Linked DNA regions of Schizosaccharomyces pombe. The gene in region 1 interacts genetically with each later gene. Each region holds a gene or a part of one and is shown in the gene's direction. Other genes may lie near its edges.

Region 1 (4,403 bases):
CAAAGGTATTCAATCATACAACTTTCAAAATTATGAAAAGGCATATTCTTTACTAGCTGCTGGAGTTACCAATTCTTTGCTTGAATGGACAAACACTAGTGTCTCAGATAAAGAATATTTGCGAATTCAGTGCTTTATTCAATCTTGCTTGCAATATCGTTTAACCCAGGATGAAAAATATCTCATTGATTTGGATGTGAAAGTTTGCAGTCTATTCAATACAAGTGCTCGTGAAGCTCTTATCCATTATGCAAAAGCTATGAAATTACTGTCAAAGTACAATAGTCGTGAAAATATGATTACCAAATTACGTGAAAGTAGTTTATATCTCCTATATGCGCCTACTGATGCATTTCTTTTACTTTTATTGGGTCTATTGATGAGACTTGTATTGTTGAATTATGGTATTTGGCATGATAGACGATCTGCCCTTAAATTTACGGACATCGATTATTTCGTGTTTTCGGACGCATCAAAATATGTCTCCATAGGAATGTCACCGTATATGCGTGACACATATCGCTATACTCCAATGTTGGCAATTTTGCTTCTTCCTACTCAATACGGATTTCCGTCGTGGGGTAAATATTTGTTTTCAATATCAGACTTAATTGCTGGGTGGCTTATGATTAAGCTCTTATCTAGGAGGATATCTTACAAAAGGTCGTTAATTTACTCTTCCTTCTGGATATTGAACCCATTCGTCGCCATAATCAGTACTCGAGGGAATTGTGAAGCCATTCTTGGTATATTGAGCATTGCTTTGTTGTATTTGATCGAAAAAAAATCAGTTTGGCTAGCTAGCCTAATACTTGGGTTTTCTGTGCATTTTAAAATTTACCCATTTATGTATGGGATTGCTTTCTTAGTATATTTTTCAAAACCAAAAAAAGGGTCCACTTTCATGGAAAAATTTCTATCTTTATTATCGATTAATCAGTTAAAGATTGTTGTTGGTTCTTTGTTTATGTTTACGATATGTAATTTATTGATGTATTACCTTTACGGGTCTCCATTCCTTGAACATACATATCTTTACCACTTTGGTAGAACAGATCATCGACATAATTTCTCTCTACATCATTTAAACTTATACTATGAATCATCTTTCGGAGCAAAAGCGTCTTCTTTATTTGCATTTCTGCCGCAGTTAAGTTTGTGCATGCTAATACCCTTGGTCTTTGGAAAAAAGAATTTACCTGGGACTCTATTTGCCCAAACATTTGCATTTGTAACCTTTAATAAGGTTTGTACCAGTCAGGTATGTTAAGTTTGAAATTAGAAGAATGACGGATTATACTAACAACTTAGTATTTTATGTGGTATCTAGTATTTCTACCTCTGGTTTTACCAAACTCTAAGCTTTTAAGTAAGAAGGGACTTATTTGTCTGTCTCTGTGGATTATTGGTCAGCTGTTATGGCTTATTAGTGCATACAATTTAGAAATGTTGGGAAAATCGGTATTTATACCTCTTTGGCTTTCCGGCTTACTTTTTTTTTTTTTTAATGTTTATGAATTAAAAATAATATTAGATTCTTTGTAGTTAATAATCAATCTGTTTTAAGTTCTATGCAATAGATGATTTTTATAAGGATGTTCTACATTATTTCTTCACCACCGCATTAATAAGTGTAAACATTGGAAGATGACCACCCCCATTGTTTTTTGCAACCCCAGCAATATAGAAGAAAGCCTTTTGTATATTAACAAATCTTTATTTTCCAAAGGAGTAATACAAGCTGAAAAGTTACGCCTTTCTCATGACATTCGTGATAATTGCAACATAGTGAACATCATATATCGTTTATTAAGAGCAACTGACGAAGAACGTTTAGAAAAGGAATCTCTTCTTGATGCTATTAAAAATAATGAATATGAAAAGCAAAGAGATAACAATACAATAAAACGGCTCAAAAATGAGTTGGAGCTTTATCAAAACGAATGTCAATTGCAACTGAATAAAGTTAGAACACTGGAAAGAGATCAAGCTGAATTAATTACACAAAATAAAGGTTTGAAAGATGTAAATGCTAAAAATGAATTGACTTTGAAGGCATTAAAGAATCAATTATCTGTTTCATTACGCCAGCATGAGCAACAAATGGAGACTTTGAAAGGTAACTATGGACTAGTGAAAGCTCGAAAAGGAAGAAACCTAAATAGTATGTTAATCGTTAAAGAGCCTATTAAGCAAAACACAAATGCCCCCATACTACCTGAGACCGCTTCATTTTTGCAACAGAATGATGAAAATTCCAATTTCCTTAACAGTAGGGTGAATAACGATGAATTTCAATTGTTAAAAGGATTAAATAACGAATTGAAAAAAAGTAACGGAACACTTTTGACATGTTTAAGTGGTACCTTGAATTCACTGGTAGAGATGTTAAGTCCTTTATACGAACGTCCTAACTCGAACCCGTTTGAAGTATGTGAACTGAATGCTATCCTTCTTGATGCAAAAATTCAAAATCAGCTGCTTTTTATTCGTAATCTGTTGCATGAACGTAAATATGTTTCAATTGATGAATTGGATGCAATATTAGAGGAAAACGAGAAAAATAAACATTTGATAAACATTCTTCAAAAGGAGAACAAAAGAGTTTTTGAATTTTTAACAAATATGCACGACAAATTTTGACTGACTTTTAACGTAATAATTTGCTGCTTCGATTTCTTAAACGAAAGCCAATTTATTAATAATAAAGAACGCAATTCAAAGACACTTATATTCCTCTTTGAGAACTGGAAGATTGCTTTTTATTTTTTTAAATATTTATTTATTGTAAACAAGTGCATCTTCTTTCACTAAGTACAGAATTTTGAAGGCAAATTTCTATTCTCAATTGAACGATTTAACATACCTTAAAATGTGAAACTGTTAAACAGTGCACCAGGGCTTTGAAAGCATGTTGTTAAAGGATTGTAGGCACTAGCTCAAGAAAGTCGATTTAATTATTTCCATGTAAAAGTTAGTTGGAGCACTTACGATTGTGTTTAATCTTCAAAAAAATAATTAACCGGAATATTTTCTAAAAAGTCATAAGTTATTTTTAATTCTTTTTTATATTTGTAAAAAAACACCTACATAATTATAAATATATTGATATTTCGAATTTCAATTCTGCTCAAAACTACTAACACACCCCTAATAGAACAAAATATTTAAGGTACTAGTAAGCTTCAAAAATCATTATTGGTGGTTTTGTTAAAAAAGTAAAAATCAGAGTTACTATAATGATAAATAAATTTTAACAATTTTTTTTTTTAATTATACTTTTTAAGCGAATACGTTGGTGTATTAATTTTATTGGCGACAAGTCTTTAGCGAATTTAGAATAGCATTAGTAGTGTGATCAAGTACATTAGTTTTTTTTGTCAAATGTGTTCAATGTTAAACAATATAATTACCTTTTGTTATTGAAATCACATTTTCTTATTGTTTACATTTTTTAACATATAGTGCTATATATCAAGGATCGTTAAGTAGCATTGTGCATTCCCTGATACATTATGGCGCTTGCTTGGACTGCCATTTGGTTGCTCTACTTACACTATTCCACATTGAGATAAAGAATGGGTTATGAGGAGGCTTTCTTTAGATGGGCATTTCTTATAGCTACTGTTTACGTTGCGTACTATTTTTTAGTCTCAAGTGATAAAAAATTAGCTACCAAACCTCAAAAGTCTAAGCTTACTAAGTTGGGTAAACAGAAACAGAGGCAGAAACAAAAGAACACTAAGAAGGATACTTTGGTTAATCGAGAAACTCCCTCTAAAAAATCCCAAAAATTGGAAACCTCAGATGCCCTAAAGTCGAAATCGAAAGACTCTTCAAAGAAGGAACCCGTGGTAGTGCCAAAGAAGGGCACACCTAAAATTTTCCAAGAAAATCATAAAGTCAAGAAAGTAAAGTCTCCTAAGAAGGAGAAATTGGTCGGAAAAAATCCTGCTGAAAAGGAGGATACTACGGACGTTGAAGATACTCAAAAATTAGAACAGAAACATTCAACTACCCCTTCCTCTTTGAAAATGAAGTCATCAATATCTCTCGCCGCTATTACAGCAGATGACTCTTTACATAATTCGTTTTCTTCAAACGATATCGATGATGGCTTTCAAACTGTTACCAGCTCCAGGTCGTACGGCAAAAAGAAATCCACTGAACCTCTTACCAAAAGGCAACGTCAAAATCAACAAAAAAAGCTACGGGCTAAAGAAATGCAAGAACTTGCAGATGAAGAACAACGAAGAAGGCTTGCTGCACATAGAAAAGAGCTTCATGAAGCAAATAGGCCTCGTGGAGGGCTAAACAATTCTAGCCGTTCTGCTTACTCTTATATTAACAACGGTCAAGCAGGCTCTTCCAAAGGTAACCGATATGATAGTTTGTGGTAGGAA
Region 2 (6,181 bases), on another chromosome or scaffold:
GTCGAAGATTTCTCTATGTTCTTGTAAAAAGAATAAAAGATAATGAAAGACGGCGAAGCATCAAATGAGGTGAATAGTTAAGCTGAGAATCAATTAAGATAAGAAGCAGGGACCCGAGCAGTTGGTTTACTCGGACCAAACAGTTCCTTGGCTAAACCACCAGCTCGGATAGCAGCCCAGCTAAGAAGGGTTTCGCCGATTCCGTGTTGATTGCTGGTAATGCCGGCAACATAGACTTTTCCCTGTTTACTTGGGGCGTTTAGTACACAGTACTCCTCAGAAATTTGAGCGCCCTGCGAGTTGGGAAAAAGGGAGGACATTAAGACATCGAATGATTCATGATCATAACCAGTAGCTACATACAGGACATCAATTTTACGAGTTTCAGGCTTTTTGCTTTTGTCCATTTGACTAGTCAATTGAACAACTAAATGATCGCCTTCGTTCTTAATCGACTGAATGTCTGTATCACCCATTATTTGATGGAATTCTTGACCATACCTCAGTTTTTGCAAGTAGCACTCCTTAAACATCTCCTCCAATAGTGACTCTTTGACAACACTGTAATTGGTAGTACGGCCAACGCTTAGTCCTTTCAATCTAGCTTCAGTGGGAAGGTTGTACCACCAATGGGAGTTATGGCTGTCAAAGTAAAGCGAATTCACAAAAGGGCTTGAGTCACTGGGAACTGGGGCCAAATTGCGAAAGCACATTGCCAAAGGGGTCTTGGGGTCGAGAGAGTAATGACAGTGTTTCCATATTTCAGCAGCAGATTGACCGCATCCCACGACGAGAATGCCGTGTTTGGAATTTCGAAGCAACTTTTGACTATGATCTGACATGAACTTACTGGAGTGGACGATAAGTGGACTGTCGACTGATTTATACAATGGTGGTATATACGGCTGACAACCCGTAGTAATAATGATGTTTTTCGCTTGCCATTGAGTATCACCGTGACCCACAATGTACAGATCAGTTGCGGCATCGTAATGGAGTTTATTAATGTTAGCGTTGTACTCGACAAACTTGGAGAAATGGCTGGCTGCCCAGCATAAGTAGTCATGGTATTCGTAACGAGATGGCTCTAGGGTGGACATGTTAAGGAAACCAGATAATCGTTCCTGGCCATGCGAATGTAGATAGTTTAAAAAGGTGAAGTAAGAAGTAGGATCCCTGGGCGTTGCCAAATCCTTTACAAATGAGATTTGCATGTTTGAACCAGGAATCAGCATACCCTCATGCCAGGAAAACGTGGGCAACTTTTCAAACACGCGGATTTTTTTGTTCTTTAAGGGCTCCTCCGAATGGTCATGCAAAGCAATAAGGAAAGAAAGACTAGCGGGACCAAATCCAATAATTGCTAAATCTAGAGGTTCAGTCATTTTCTTATTTCCAAAGGTTTTTTTTTAAGAAAGAGGGACGAAATGAATTAATTAGATAATTAGGGATTTTCCCTAAGCAAGCAATAATATTAGAAAACTTGGTTCCATTATCCGAAAAAACATATTTTTCCTTTTCATACTTACCAAGTTTCACGATATTCTAGAATGCGCGGCTTTTTGAAATTAATTAGGCTAGCACTACTACAAATGTTTGCAAGAAGATTGTTGGTCGATTTTAAAATATTGTTATCCAACCCACAATACGTGCGAAAATGAGCCTATATAATGGAAGTATATGAGCACATGTATTTTAAGGAGTCCATTCCCTTTCGATAACATATGTCGCGCTTTCTCCGTCATAGCGCTAAGCCCTTACGTAACTGCAGTTAAGGTGGAAATTTTGTGAAATCCGAGAAAATCTCGAAGCATAAACAACCGTTAAAAAAAAGAGGATGGTGAAATGAAAATTCTGTTTTTCTTGAGCGAAATTCTTTTTTTATGGGAAATTAAAACAAAGCATCGCCAGGTATATGTTTTCTCCTCGCGTACATACGAATAAACAAAAAATAAGAAGTGCCTAAAATTAAGCATCGTTTTGTATTCTTAGGTATAAACAGAAGGTGAAAAGTGTACTGCCAAATTTAGTATTACGGAAAACCGAGTCTTTGTTATGAAATTATTTGAAAATCGTTAAAATTACCGCATACCAAGGTCTATATTTCTCTGTCATCTTCTTTCCCTCCCCTTTTCATCCACTTTCTCTATGCTGCGGTCGCATGCTCTGTATCTCGCAAGTCCGTAGTTTTTTGAACTATGCGGAAGCAAATCTGGAGTAAAGCGAAAAGGAAGTGGTAAGTGTGTTACAACACATTTTTTTTAATAGAATGGCATCGATTAAATGAGACATCAGAAAAAATGGAAAACTCTATTCATTCGTTTTCCACTACAAAAAGTCCCCTTTACTTGGACTCAGGTTTACCGACCGGCACCCCGCGTTGATCTTCTAGACTCTCTTCATCCGATCTCTATCGATCTGATAAATATAAGGTGGTAAAGTGGGCAATATTGTAAGCGAAAATCTAGGTCACATGCACTTCATTTGATATCTCTCCATTTTAAATTTCGGAAAAGATTAGTAATGAGGCTTTTCATGATCTTTCGAAAGTATTGAAAAATTCACTTAAAAGAGCAAACTCCGATGAAAATAGTCACCCGAAAAACTTCCAGTTTGTTGATTGCCTTGTTTAGACAGGCCTTTTTGATTGCACATTATAACGAACTTTAAGGCTGCGCCAAATCACGTAACTAAACTTCGTTAAGCAAGGGTGGTGTAATATTACAAGCATCCATATTTTAGCAGGATATTCCTCTACTTGGTTCTTACTGCTACTGTGTTTTAATGAAGGATTAATACATCCTTTAGCTATTGATACATTTGTGAAACAACACCTTCGTTATAAAATATTTCCGTGTCACTAAATTTTTTGATTGAGACTTATGAAGAATTCAAATGAAGAAGATGCTTTCTCAACTCAAATTTCTCAATTAGGTCCTATGCGGCCGTCAAGTGATGCCCCCTATCACGTTTTATCACTTCCCTTTTCACATCCTTACTCTGCATTTTTGGACGCTTGGAGTTGGCTGTTTTGTGGTATCACTGGTGGAGAAGTTTCATTCTTTTTTTTTCCTGTTTCAGACGATGTGATTCCTAATACTAATCCTAAAAATTGCCAATGCTACTTATATCATTCTACAAACTCCCAACTAGAACCCTTAGAAGTTTTTCACCTACATAAACTACATTCTGCCGTTTTCACTTCGCGTCGAGATCCATCCTTTGCTGACGATTTGTTTGAATCATCTAAACCATGTTTGAATCAACTTTTATCTTATTTTTCAGACATAACCGCTTTTCGATCTATGGATGTGGTTGCCGACATAGCCTTTGTCTGTTCTCCCAATTTCCTTACTTTAAAATGGAATTCGTCTCTGTTTGATGATGATTTAGCAAGATTACTTTTTTTCATGATTAACTCAAAAATCACTAATTACGACCTCCCCTTCTCCATCCTTAATTCTCCTTGTTCCGATTTATGCTTAAACTCTTCATCTCTTGCTAATTATTTACACGGGTGTTTTTATCATAATACTCTTTCTCACCCTTATCAAGATGCTTTGAAGTTTATATATGAAATTGGCGATGATCTGGAGGATACCTTTAGATCATTTTCTTTTCTCGAGCTTCACTCTTTGGCAATAAAACTTTCCAAACTCGTTACATGTAAGAATGAGGTAGTTCCTATTATGGTATCTCATTCACCTGCTCTTTTCGTTGGTATTCTTGCAATCCTCTACAGTGGTAATGCTTATTGTCCCATTGATGTAGAAACTCGTACTGAAAGGGTCCACTTTATCAGTAAAGATGTTGATGCGTCTTTTGCTATTGTCTCTGAAGAGTTTGTTAATCGATTTCCTAATAACACAATTATATTAAAGGTTCCTGAGTATAATGAGTCAATGGAGATCAAAGTCGATGATGAGATACCCCCCTTTCCCTTTCCTGAAAGCCTTGATTCCGTTGCTTATGTTCTGTACACATCTGGTTCAACTGGAAATCCCAAGGGTGTTGCAATCTCTCATCGAGCTGCTACCAATTCTATCAAATCCCACGGGTATTTATATCCAATGTTTGGGCTTGAACGTGGTGATGCTTGGTTGCAGTTTGCCAACGTGACCTTTGATGTATCGGTTTTTGAAATTTTTGGAAATTGGAATAACGGTCTGACGTTGGTGACTTCGAAAAGGCAGAACTTGATCGGAAATTTGGAGTATTTAATATATGATTATAAAATCGCTGCTTTGGAACTAACACCCACTGTTGCTAATGTTATCTCGCTTGACGAAAATAAGGAATTATTTACAAGTGTTCGAATGCTCATAACGATCGGTGAGTTGCTCACTAATAGAATCATTGACTTTTGGGGAGAACGTTTAGTAAATGCTTATGGTCCGACAGAAGCAGCTATACATGTTACGCTTAATCCTTCCAAAGCGTTAACCACGGTTTATTTAGTTGGCGTGCCATTACAATCAGCAACAATATGCGTTGTTTCACTTCCTACTGAAGATTCTCAGCCGCATGTGTTGCATGAAGGATTTCTAGGAGAAGTATGTATTGCTGGCCCACAGTTGTCTAGTGGATACATTAATCGACCAGAGATTAATGCAAAGGCCTTTGTTGAGGTTCAATATAACGAACAAACTCTGTCAATTTACCGAACTGGCGATTTGGGCCGTATAATAAATGGGAAATTATATATATTCGGGAGGATTGCTGGTGATATGCAAATAAAAATAAGAGGTAGGCGTATTGAAATTGGAGAAATTGAATCAAAATTAGCACCCTCCGTCGATTCTTTGGCTATTGAAAAAATTGGCGACAATTTGGTTGCTTTTTATGTCGGCGACGAAATGAAATTGAGAAAGCACGCTGAATCCCACCTTGCTAGTTGGATGTGCCCAACAAAATACGTTGGCTTACCTGGGTTTCCAAGACTAGCAAGTGGAAAAACAGATCGCAAAGCATTGAAAATTCAATTTTCTGCTTCTGATAAACACTCTACTGATTTCTCTAGCTTTAATCAATCTGAACTGTTAGTCGCTAATGTGTTACATGAAATATGTGAAAAGAGATTTAACTCTGTTGTATCTATTTCTCGGTTTTCGTCGATTTTTGACTTGGGATTGGATTCTTTAGATATTGTCTATTTCGTGCGTAAGATTAGGTCCTTAGGTTTTGAGGCAAATCCATCAATTGTTTTGACTAGTAAAGTGGTTTTCAAAATAGCTGAGAGCTTAATTTTACTCAAACCCAACGAAGTTCAGTCAAAGAACAATTTTCTTAATAAATGCACACCACTTCAAAAAGGAATGCTCTATGAATCGTTCTCAAATAATGGAAATCTATATTTCAATCACACTGTTTTTAAAATTGCAGCTTCACCTGAAAAAGTTAAGCTTGCCTGGGAGAAATTACTAGATACACATACTATACTGAGTAATGGCTTTGCTTTGGACGAAAATGAGGGATTTACTCGGTTTATTCTTGAAAAGAAGCCTCCATTGTATTCGTATTCAAAGAATTGCCTAGAGTGCATTCAAAAACATTTTACTACCAAAGAATTTGATGAACAATTTCTAAACAGTGGTCCATTGGATGCTGCTGTAATTTATGACTCCAGTAACTGTTATCTCAGCATTGTCTGGCATCACGCTTTATACGATGGTTGGTCCATCGATATTATTATGCAGCAATTATTCATGCTGATTCACGATAGACGGCTTACGATCGTCCCACAATTTGAAGACTATGTTCAGGAATTAGAATCGCTTAGGCGACTGAACTACAAAAATTGCATAAGCTTTTGGAAAAAATATTTGAAGGATTTTAAATTCAAAAGTTTATCTTATCAACGTGAGAAGATGGGTGTTGTTGAATTATCCTCAAATATCAGCCTGCTCAGTGTTGAAAACATTTGTAAGCAACTTCAAACTACTCCATTATCATTCTTTTTAACAGCTTGGTCTACTGTTCTTTCCTCATACTTGAAAACAAACGACTTTTTAGTAGGCACTGTTGTATCAGGGCGTGTTAACAGTTTATTACCAAACGTTGACTATGTTATAGGACCATGTATGCAAACTTTGCCTGTTCGCATTAAGCTGGATGATGAATTGTCGTATAAAAATCTTTGTCAAAACTTGTTTAAAGAATTGAGTTTCGTTTTGAAACATTC
Region 3 (4,759 bases), on another chromosome or scaffold:
TTTAGATCCTTTCGACGAGCTTGAAGACAATTTTCTTAATGAAGCTCTCAAAACAAGTGGAGCCAGTTCAATGATTATGGCTCATACTGATGATCAAAAACCTATTCATATCACACTAGATACACATGTTGCTTCTGAAGGTTCTAATTTTTCACAAGGGCAAAAACAAGTCCTTGCATTAGCACGCGCAATAGTTAGACGTTCCAAAATTATTATTCTAGATGAGTGTACTGCCTCTGTGGATGATGCTATGGATCAGAAAATTCAAAAAACATTGCGTGAAGCATTTGGCGATGCAACTATGTTATGTATTGCCCATCGTTTGAAAACTATTGTTGATTATGACAAAGTCATGGTCTTGGATAAGGGTGTATTGGTAGAGTATGGTCCCCCAGCCGTACTTTATCATAATAATGGTCACTTTCGACGTATGTGCGATGGCAGTGGAATTACTTTTCTGCCTCCTGAAACTCGAGGTTCGAAATCAGCATGATTTTAATTTTAAATAATGTTGGCTGATGAAACTTATTTTGTAAGCTTAGATTAATTTAAAGGAAATTATTCAATTAGGTTAGATTCTTCTTCAGTTACATAATATATCATTTTACATATAAAAGATCTAAACAACCCAAGCGTTTCTTTAGCAGCTAGTAATAATTTTAGTTAATAACTTGCAAAATACCCGCTAAATTGATTATCTTTATTTTACGACTTAAGAAAAAGGTTGGTATAATCTGGCTGATAAATATCACAACGGTCGTGTTATTTGCATACTGAAAACATCATTCGAATATCAACACTACTCAACAGCATACATTACAGATTAAGTCGAATGAATAAATCAATATTTATTCAGCTACAAGATCAAATTGATAAAGAACATAGTATTCGGGAGGTACTAATCTTGGAAATTATGACAAACTAACATTACAGAAACTGACTGCAGAGGTCGATTTGTTAGACGAAAAGTTAAGAGTTTTGCAACTTCTCTTGGCAAACTGTGAACAAAGTAGAAATGAAAATTTACAAGAAAAAGAACATGGACTAACTTTGGAAGATTTAGAAAATCAGGAAGAAATTTTAGAAGCTCTTGAGATCATTAAAAGCAAAACCAGAGGATTAGCAGAATTGGCATCGAATTTTCCATACTATAAATATAACGGAGTCTGGGATCGATCAATTCAGAAAGTTGTTTATTTATATTTGCTAGCTTCCTGGACCGGTCGTTTAGATAAAAGTTTAAGACCCACGTACAGCCTTCTATCGCTTTCCGAAGTTGGTCAAATTTTGCAAGGTGCGTAAATTATTTTACATTTTTCTCACAATCTTCAGTCCCGGTTTTTCCAGAAGAGTCCACTTTTCATCTTTCAATTGAGCAATATTTGCACGCAGTACTATCTCTGTGTTCTGAACTGGTATATATTCTATTCAACAATCCAAATTGACACAATTTCTAGGCTCGTCAATCTGTAAACTCAGTAATATCTGGAAACTATCATATTCCATTTGAGGCCCTAAATACTATTCAAAAAGTTCATTCTTCTTTTCAAGTACTCTCTTTGAAAAACGACTCCTTAAGAAGACATTTCGATGGATTAAAATATGATTTGAAAAGATCTGAGGACGGTATGAAATTTACGTGGATTTTTTTTTTTTTTGATAGTTTATTTCTGACATATGCAGTTGTTTATGATCTTCGGATACATAAATTGGTTTAAATTGCTAACAATTTATTTGCCAGCTGTACGCTTGACTAAAATTGAGCCGATAAAATTGCTTTTTTAATATTAGGTCTGCTTATTTGCTATGAAACTGGCAGTCCTATGATGAATGCAATTATATTTCTCTTTCTTTAATTTTGTTACACTCTCTGGCAAACTGAATAGTTATTTAAAAAAAAAATATTTCAGCCTAGGTTTCTTTAAGTTCTGATTTTTCTTTACCCAATATTCAAGACGTTTTCCAGGGTACTAAATTAATCATTGGACTGGTATACAACATGTGTTATAAGTTAGTCGCATTTTACCAGATACATGTTAATGGCGGCATAAGTAGATACTTTTCTAACTTTTAATCAACTGCATTTAGCTTATATTTCTTGATGTCCTATGCACCTTTAAAATCTTTCAACAAATGATTACTATTTTTAAATTGAACAACCCTGATTGCGTAGAAGGCGTGCATGTTTTTTTAGCGATTAAAATCCGGGGTCTTACTAGTGTTAATCCTTAATTCTTTTAGAACAATTGATAAGGTAAAGGGAAGCAAGATTAAATTAAAGAGACCGCAAATTGAAATTACTGTGTTTTTAAGCCTAAGCAATACTTACTAGTCGTAAGTAATAAGTCAGTACCGAAATTGAGCGCATTACGAAATACAAATTAAGGATAAAAATTAACTGTTTACTAATGTTTAACGAACTAGTAATTTTCGTTAAATTCATGAAAAAATATATCAAAAAAAAGCTGGAAGTTTTCAAACATATGTTTTACGGCTGATTTTATTCAACCTTCTATTTTGTAGAACATAAAGAAAATGCCATTAATAATTGTTTCAGGTTATCCATCTTCAGGGAAAACAACGAGGTCAAATGAACTTAAAAAGGCTTTAGAAGATCGAATTCATCAAAATATCGACAATACAAAGGATTATCGGGTGATAATAATAAACGATGAGAGTTTAAACATTGAAAAAGAAACATATCGAGGTATGTTTAAATAGTTATCTTTAATGATTTAGTTTTTGGAAATTAGCCAATTCATTTTTGGCTTCAGATTGTGCCCAGCTACTCTAGATGATGGGAGAATCCGTATATGCAATTTTTCGTAATTCTGGTAACTAATTTGTCTTAGAGTCCAAGAACGAAAAGGCCGCTCGTGGCCTTCTCTATTCTGCTGTTCAGCGTGAACTTTCAAAATCTACATTCGTAATTTGCGATGCCTTGAATTACATAAAAGGATTTCGATACCAGTTATATTGTGAATCAAAGTCTATGTACACAACTCATTGTGTGATTCATGTTGCTGTTCCTCAAGATTTATGTCGAAAATTCAATAGTAACAAGGAACAGCCGTATCCTGACGATGTTCTTGAGCAATTAATGTTTCGTTATGAAGAACCGAATGGAATGACACGATGGGATTCCCCTTTATTTACTGTCTTGCACGATGATGCTTCTTGTCCTATCGATGACATCTGGTCAGTTCTTATTCATAACAAAAATGTCAAGCCTAACCAAGCTACAATGGTAAAACCTCCAGCTGAAGTCAACTATTTATATGAATTAGATAAAACTACTCAAGACGTAATCATGCTTATACTGGATAATTCCAACGATACCTCCTTGATTACTGTACCAGGGAGCAAACTTCAAATCGCATTACCCAGTGTTACAGTATCTCTTCCTTTACTTCAAAGATTGCGCCGTCAATTTATCCAAATTAACCGGCAACAATCATATAATACCAATGTTCTCAAGGAAATGTTTGTCGAATTTTTAAATGGTCAATTTGAAACCTTGGACTGATATCCTTTTCTTAAACTTTATGATATTTTTTTTTGGGATTTTTAAGGGGACGAAAAAATGTAGCCTAATATTAATACTTAACTTTGTTTGTTTCTTTTTTTTAGAACATGTTTAAAATGGTAGAAATCGTACATTTTGTTTAATTCCTTAATCCTTTTACAGTTTAAGGAATGCTGTCCTGTAAAAAAGAAATAAGAAAACGTTCACGGTCAATATCGACAATAAAAGTTTCAGTAAAACAACGAATATTGTATAAATCTAGTTATAATGTTTACTATTTAATCCATACTGTAATAAAACAATTTATTATAAGTCTCGCTCGTTTGCTTTATATAAGTAGCACATTGAACCGAGATCTAACGTTCGACACATTAAGGCCGAAAACACTTAGCAAAGACATACTCCGCCTTATATTTCATTGCTAAAAGTTGGCTCGTCTAGACGGCAATTGGCTTGAACGTGACCGATGCCAAAATGCAGGATGCCTCTGAACCTGTGATCAATATGCCTGCTCTGCCTATGAACTCCGTGAATGAGCAACATGACAGACACGAAGATCTTCCAGAAGTTGGAACAACATCAGTTACTAAAATTATTAATGATTCTGACAACGAAGATGATGAAAATGGTATGGATCTCGGTCGTGTTGCTTCTGAAAGTTTAGAAGGCGATGCTGTGGTAAGTATTGATATAAATACAGAAGATTCGTCGTTGTCGCCAGCGAAACAAGAAAACGAAAAGAGTCCCGAAGGAATCGAGCAGAAATATCAAGAAGAAGACTTGAAAGACGACAAAAAATCCAATGAAACTATCGCGACGCCTGTACCTGACGCTGCATCGAGGGCCAGTTTGGAAAAGCAAAAATCAGGTTTAACCAATTTGGAAAAATCCACTCATGTAGTGCTTATAAAGTGCATCGAGCAGCTTATACAAATAAAAGTTTGTATGAAGAACGAGAAGATGAAGAATTTAATGGAGCAACTAAAACCTCTTCTACAAACCGAATGTCAGTTTGACAAATTTTTGATAGTAGAGTTATTTCAGTACTGCTTTGAATCCAGTCAAGATGAAGTTATGAACATTTCTTTAGACACTATTTCTAAACTTGCTTCATTCGCCTATTTTTCTTCAAAAGATAAAACACCTGCCTCATTTGGGCCCCCTAAATCCCTTCTACAGTGTATGGTTGATATGGTATGCGATAGTATCAATGATGAAGTTGTTGATGGAAAT
Region 4 (6,070 bases), on another chromosome or scaffold:
CTTATGTAGCTACAAGGTTTTCTGAGGTCTGCTTAATTGATTAAAATTTTTTATTTTCTGTGATGGTAACATACAACTCATTTTACGGTCGGTACAAAAAAATTGAAATTATATTCCAAGTATTCTCAAACTTTGATTGCTGTCCGAATAGAACAGTCCGACTCATATTATTTTAATCAAGTTATAGCAATTTGACTGGGTGCTGTTTTTTCTTTTGTACATTTAAACCTATCATTTTATTATCTTTTGTATTCAATTCACAACCGAAGCTCTAACAAGTTTTAGAAAATGTGCGGAATTTTGGCGTTAATGCTTGCTGACCCTCATCAACAGGCATGTCCTGAAATTTATGAGGGTCTTTACAGTTTGCAGCATCGGGGTCAAGATGCCGCCGGTATTGTAACCGCTGGAAACAAAGGTCGTCTTTACCAATGCAAGGGATCCGGCATGGTTGCCGATGTTTTTAGTCAGCATCAACTTCGCCAACTCGTAGGTAGTATGGGTATTGGTCATTTGCGCTATCCTACTGCTGGAAGTTGTGCTCACTCTGAAGCACAACCCTTTTATGTTAACTCTCCTTATGGTCTTGTGTTGGGCCATAATGGTAATTTAATTAATGGACCCGAATTACGACGCTTTTTGGACACTGAGGCCCATCGTCATGTAAACACTGGATCTGATTCTGAGCTTTTGCTTAACATCTTTGCTTACGAGCTTCAACGGTTGGATAAATTTCGTATAAACGAAAATGATATTTTCGAAGCTTTGCGTAATGTATACGATCGCGTTAATGGTGGTTATGCATGTGTTGCTATGATCGCAGGCTTGGGTGTTTTGGGATTCCGTGATCCCAATGGCATTCGTCCTTTAGTGATCGGTGAACGTGATACCCCCGAAGGAAAGGATTACATGCTTGCTAGTGAGAGTGTTGTATTGACTCAATTTGGATACCGTACATTCAGAGATATTCGCCCCGGTGAGTGTGTCTTTATTCGTCGTTCCAATAGGGAAGATATACTTGCAGGGTTTAGAGGCCCTCGCTTGTTTTCTCGTCAAATCCTTCCCTGCCTAAGATTTACTCCCGATATATTTGAGTATGTCTATTTCGCTCGTCCCGACTCTGTTATTGACGGATTGTCCGTATACCAATCCCGTTTAAATATGGGTGAAAAGTTAGCGCATACTATAATGAAACGGTTTGGTCCCGATTACATGGAAAAAATTGATGCTGTCATTCCTGTTCCAGATTCTGCTCGAACCAGTGCCCTTGCACTTGCACAGACAGCTCAACTGCCATACGTCGAAGCTTTTATTAAAAACCGATATATTGGTCGTACCTTCATTATGCCAGGTCAACAGATTCGTCGTAAATCGGTTCGTCGTAAATTAAATGTTCAACCTCAAGAGTTTTTTGATAAGAATGTTTTAATTGTGGATGACAGTATTGTTCGTGGTACCACCTCTCGTGAGATCGTTCAAATGGCTAGGGAGTCGGGTGCAAAGAATGTCTATTTGGCTAGTTGCGCTCCTATGATCACTCATCCTCATGTCTACGGTATTGATCTCGCTGATTGTAAGGATCTCATTGCTTATGGAAAAACTGAGGATGAGGTTGCTGAAGCAATTAGTGCCGATGGTGTCATTTATCAAACATTAGAAGATTTATTAGATTCTTGTCGTACGGCTGAGCTGACCGAATTTGAAGTTGGTCTCTTTACTGGCGAATACACTACTGGCGCTAGTAAAGAATATTTAGTCCATCTTGAGCAAATGCGTATTGCTAACAATCGTGCTCGTAAGCATAGCTTTGCAGAAGATGAGGAACGTGAAGCTCCCGAAGACATTTCTCTCCATAACACACATTCAGATGTTACTTTTGATTTTGTTTAATTCCCCAATTTATTCAATGCTTAGTGCTTTATTATAATAACCAATCCTCCATTTACTTTGTCTAGATTGATGCTCTAATCCATTGTTGAATACTAATAGAATGTACAATCGCCCCATCAATGGTTTTTTGGTTGATTTTAATTTCTGAATTTTTGTCCTCTTGAAACTTTTCTTGAAATTAAAGATAATTTCATCAGCTCCTTGTTGTTAATTTTACTTTTTGTTACCAATTAATATATATTGTTTCAATATATAAGTTTACCCATACTCTTTAAGACTATTAGATTATAAGTAGTGTCTGAAAAAAATTTTCTACACACTTTTATAAACATGCAATAATATACAATATTGGTTTTTTTTTTTTGGTCTCTTAACCTTTTCATAAAATGAAACATAATTCAAAGTCTGTTTGTACTATTTGCATAATTATGTTACAAACTCTTTCGACGTTTTTACTTGTATAGTCCACCAACTTCTTCATTTCTTTATATAAATGCGTATAACGGTAAAAGCATTCTTTCGTTTAATCAATAACTAAAAACCTATTAATTTAAGTCTATGTTTCAATACAACTCACTGTTTTGGCGAAACTCGTGTTGAATGATTCCGAAGAGAGGGGATTTCGATATCATCAGTGCCTTTTGTGATGATGTCTAGAAAGCGACAGGCATCCTCTAATGATTTTTTTGACATGGAACAGCTTTTGATAGCGAATGATGCATTAGTGCATCAGAATCACTCTACTCCCAATCATGCAAGCGACGAATTGTCTGTGAACGACCCTTCGCCTTTGAGCCGTGGCCTGCAGTCAGATGTCAACTCAAACATATCTAGAAATATCTCTAACACATTCTTTAAAAAGTCGATCTTTTTCTTCGTTTACTATTGTAAGCAAGCTTTAGAATTTATCAGCACTGTATTTTCCATCATAAAGTTTCTTTTGAACCGTCGAAAAGTTAGCTTTTTACTCTCATTTCTTTTGCTTTTCTCGTTGTTTTTACTAATACCTAATGATGGACGAGTAAATATTAAGTTTTTTTATAAGGATTTCGTAGACAGAATTCCTTTTCGGTTCATTCCTTCAAATTTTAATATAAGTTTTGGCAAACACTTGGAACAAGCGAAATCTCTGTTTAAATCCAAATTTGGTAATTCCTCTTCAACATATAATGAACGTGATTCTATAATGCCATTGCTAAAGCTACAGTCAAACCTTACAGAGGCAAAGACACTTCTTTATCAAAATCCAATTAGCCCTGAAGATGTTTTATTACATTTTTGGGATAGAAATTTAATGAGTACTTATGATCTTAAAATACAGGATATAAATGATTCTGTTAACCCTCTACTGAACACTTACCTAGATTTTATTGAAAAAGACATATACCTAGTGTCGCATCTGCCTGTTTCCGAAAAACACCCTGGGAACATCCCGATTTCATTAGTCAATAAGAGTGTTCAAGCCATTTGTTCTTTTGCCGAACATTACAATTTATTGCGAAATCCTTCGTATCGGGGCTTTCTGAGAATTAACAATGGAGAGTCTATTTTTAATTTACTTTGCATTGAAGATTTACACGAAAGTGTCAATCTTGATATTCTTTGTTTGAAAGATATATTACGGAACATTGCTCAAAGCTCTAAAGAAGCTATGTATATTGTAAAGCGACACAACTCATCACAGTCTTTTTATGGCAATAGATCGACCACCAATTTTTCAATCATAAACTCCGGTTTATATTTAAAAAAAGATGCTGCTAAAAATCTTTTGGCGAAGCAGTTTGATGCCACATATTCTTATTATCATAAAGACCTTGAGGAATCTGTTCATCAAAAACTCAATTCAAACTTAGAAAAAAGAGTTGAAAAATACATAAAACATTCTTGTTCCCAGAGAAATGTTGCTGATCACCCGGACTTTGCCTTGAAAGTTGTTGGTGCTGTCGTGGACTACGGATGGACATTTCCTAAGCCTAAATTTTCTGACATTTTAAGGGATTACTGGGGAAAAAAAGCAAATCTACCGACGGCTTTACTTGACACAAGCATCAATAGTAATTGGTGTAATTACGAAGATACTGTACAGGTTTCTGTGCGTTTAAATCGACCAATGTACGTGCGACATATTTCACTAATTTTTCCAATACATGGTGATGATTCTTATTTCCCGCGTGAAATCCAAATGTTTGGGCTTATCAATGATATCAATTATCAAATTTTAAGCAACATGAACAACTTGGTTTTGCTTGCCACGATTCCTGTTTCTTTGTCTTCGGTGTTCGAAGTAAATTATTACTATCTTCCAAAATTCTCGGACACACCTGGCCTTCTGGAAGAAGCTTATTTTAACACATTTGTGTTCAGGGCGTTTTCAAAAAATGAATCTTTGACGTCGCAAATTTGTTTATACCACATTGGTATACATGGTAAGGAGATTAATGAAGAATTTTAACGTCTTATTTAAATACGACTAAGTAGTCTAAGAGCCACTTTCATCTATTACTTTTGTATGGATATTTCTTGTCAATGAAAAAAATATATAAATTTAGCATATTAATTAATCTATGATGTATAGGAATATGCTTAGTTGGTGCTATGAAATAGTTTCAAAAATTTGCACGTCCTCGGGATTTTATTCACAAGGTAGTTTTAATTCACTGGAAAATTTAGGTCTTAAATAAACGAATAGTATACGCGTAATAGGATTCCCAACTATTAACCCGTATAGGGAAGCAGATACTGAATGTCGAATTGTAATTGGCGATACTATAATTCTCAAGTATACAGGAACACCTACACTTGGTTAAGATAAAATTTGAATAATGGCTTCAAAATATCAGTCTGTGCAGCCTGGTGGGTAAGTCAAGCATCTTTATGAAGTTACAAGGCTCTATAAATCATTTTCAGCTTTTTAGTATCTTAACTTTCATCTACACAGAATTGAAAAATTAGCAAAGCATACAAAATGAAAGCTAGCAAAGTTTTTTGATGTATCTCAAGGTAATTTTTAGGCTAATCTAAGCTTTAGATCATTAATTATTGCTTGGCGTGCACAAGGTAAAAAAGTATTAATTGTTGGAGGTGGCGTTGTGGCAGCTGGGCGTATATTGCATGTTTTGAATGCGGATGCCCATGTTATCGTTGTAAGTCCAAAAGCTGGTCTTTGTAAAGAAGTGGCTTGGAGAATACAGGAGAAGCAAGTTGAATGGCGAGACAGGGGATTTCTAGTCGAAGATTTGTCTGACGATGTAAACATGGTACTTACAGCCATAGATGATCCCAGCTTGTCTTCCGAAATTTATAAGTTATGCAAAAGCAAAAAAATCCCGGTCAATGCGGCGGATATTCCACCTGAATGTGATTTCTACTTTGGGTCTGAAATCCGTAACGGCCCTCTACAAATTATGGTTAGCACCAATGGTAAAGGTCCAAAACTTGCCAGTTTAATACGAAAAAAAATCGAAAGTTCAATCAATCCAGCTACTGGTATGGCATTGGAAAAAACTGGCCTTTTACGACAAAAATTACGAGACATTGTTCCCGAACCTGAAAACAGTCGCAAAAGAATGAGATGGATGATTGAGATTTGCGAACTGTGGTCTTTGGAGGAACTTGCCATGCTCGACGAAAATCTCATCAACCGACTTTTGGGATACTTCCCAAAAAAAACACCTAGTTATCGAGAAATAACGACTCCAGCCTACAGCAAGATAGACAACTACATATGGTTTGGAGCAATTATAATTTCTGGGGCTGTTCTCCTCAAACATGTTTCAAAAGCTCGTTAAAAGAAGCGTTTGATAAGTTAGTTGCTTTACGGAATATGACAATTACATTACTTTTCACTTTAAAACATTTGAATTTTGAATGGAATTTATTAAAAAACTCTTGTACTCATAGAAGGTTATTTTTCATATAATGCTCCCTAAACGAAAATGATACATCTTTGGAAAAAAGTTCCGTTGTCCATTACTATACTATCAACAGTTTTTTGAATAAAATTAACCTACAATGTATACTTGAAGTCAAAGTAGTTTTTATCGAAGAAGTGCACCCGAACATAACCATCTTCTCCACCACTAGCATAACCGGTTCCTTTGGGATGGACAGCTATTGTGTTGATAGGACCGAAATGACCCTTAACGCGGCCTAACTCTTCTTCTAAAATCGCATGATAAAA

Evidence for each region.
Region 2: mutations in msd1 (region 1) and sib1 together harm fitness less than expected from each alone (positive genetic interaction), as found in Schizosaccharomyces pombe (one large-scale study listed by BioGRID).
Region 3: mutations in msd1 (region 1) and kti12 together harm fitness more than expected from each alone (negative genetic interaction), as found in Schizosaccharomyces pombe (one large-scale study listed by BioGRID).
Region 4: mutations in msd1 (region 1) and csi2 together harm fitness more than expected from each alone (negative genetic interaction), as found in Schizosaccharomyces pombe (one large-scale study listed by BioGRID).

What each region holds. Positions count from the first base shown.
Region 1 is NC_003423.3:3,048,933-3,053,335, forward strand, and holds msd1 (microtubule-anchoring factor Msd1), read left to right. Parts: upstream 1-1,618; 5' UTR 1,619-1,647; coding exon 1,648-2,643; 3' UTR 2,644-3,027; downstream 3,028-4,403. Other genes in the region: gpi14 (pig-M family mannosyltransferase), read left to right, coding at 1-1,261, 1,312-1,545; SPOM_SPBC13E7.07 (uncharacterized protein), read left to right, coding at 3,579-4,400. UniProt on the Schizosaccharomyces pombe protein: Has a role in meiosis.
Region 2 is NC_003424.3:866,229-872,409, reverse strand, and holds the start of sib1 (ferrichrome synthetase Sib1), read left to right. Parts: upstream 1-2,725; 5' UTR 2,726-2,882; coding exon 2,883-6,181. Other genes in the region: sib2 (ornithine N5 monooxygenase), read right to left, coding at 90-1,385. UniProt on the Schizosaccharomyces pombe protein: Involved in intracellular and extracellular ferrichrome siderophore biosynthesis.
Region 3 is NC_003424.3:4,391,666-4,396,424, reverse strand, and holds kti12 (elongator complex-associated protein Kti2), read left to right. Parts: upstream 1-2,467; 5' UTR 2,468-2,535; coding exon 2,536-2,707; exon of another isoform or gene 2,708-2,852; coding exon 2,853-3,526; 3' UTR 3,527-3,612; downstream 3,613-4,759. Other genes in the region: vacuolar phytochelatin and glutathione S-conjugate ABC family transmembrane transporter Abc4, read left to right, coding at 1-493; tsn1 (translin), read left to right, coding at 833-895, 934-1,009, 1,058-1,294, 1,333-1,415, 1,458-1,626, 1,684-1,718; Sec7 domain-containing protein sec72, read left to right, coding at 4,001-4,759. UniProt on the Schizosaccharomyces pombe protein: Elongator complex-associated factor that is not a structural subunit but rather transiently contacts the complex.
Region 4 is NC_003424.3:5,360,180-5,366,249, reverse strand, and holds csi2 (protein Csi2), read left to right. Parts: upstream 1-2,350; 5' UTR 2,351-2,536; coding exon 2,537-4,342; 3' UTR 4,343-4,638; downstream 4,639-6,070. Other genes in the region: amidophosphoribosyltransferase Ade4, read left to right, coding at 289-1,890; met8 (siroheme synthase), read left to right, coding at 4,713-4,747, 4,919-5,678; sum1 (translation initiation factor eIF3i), read right to left, coding at 5,897-6,070.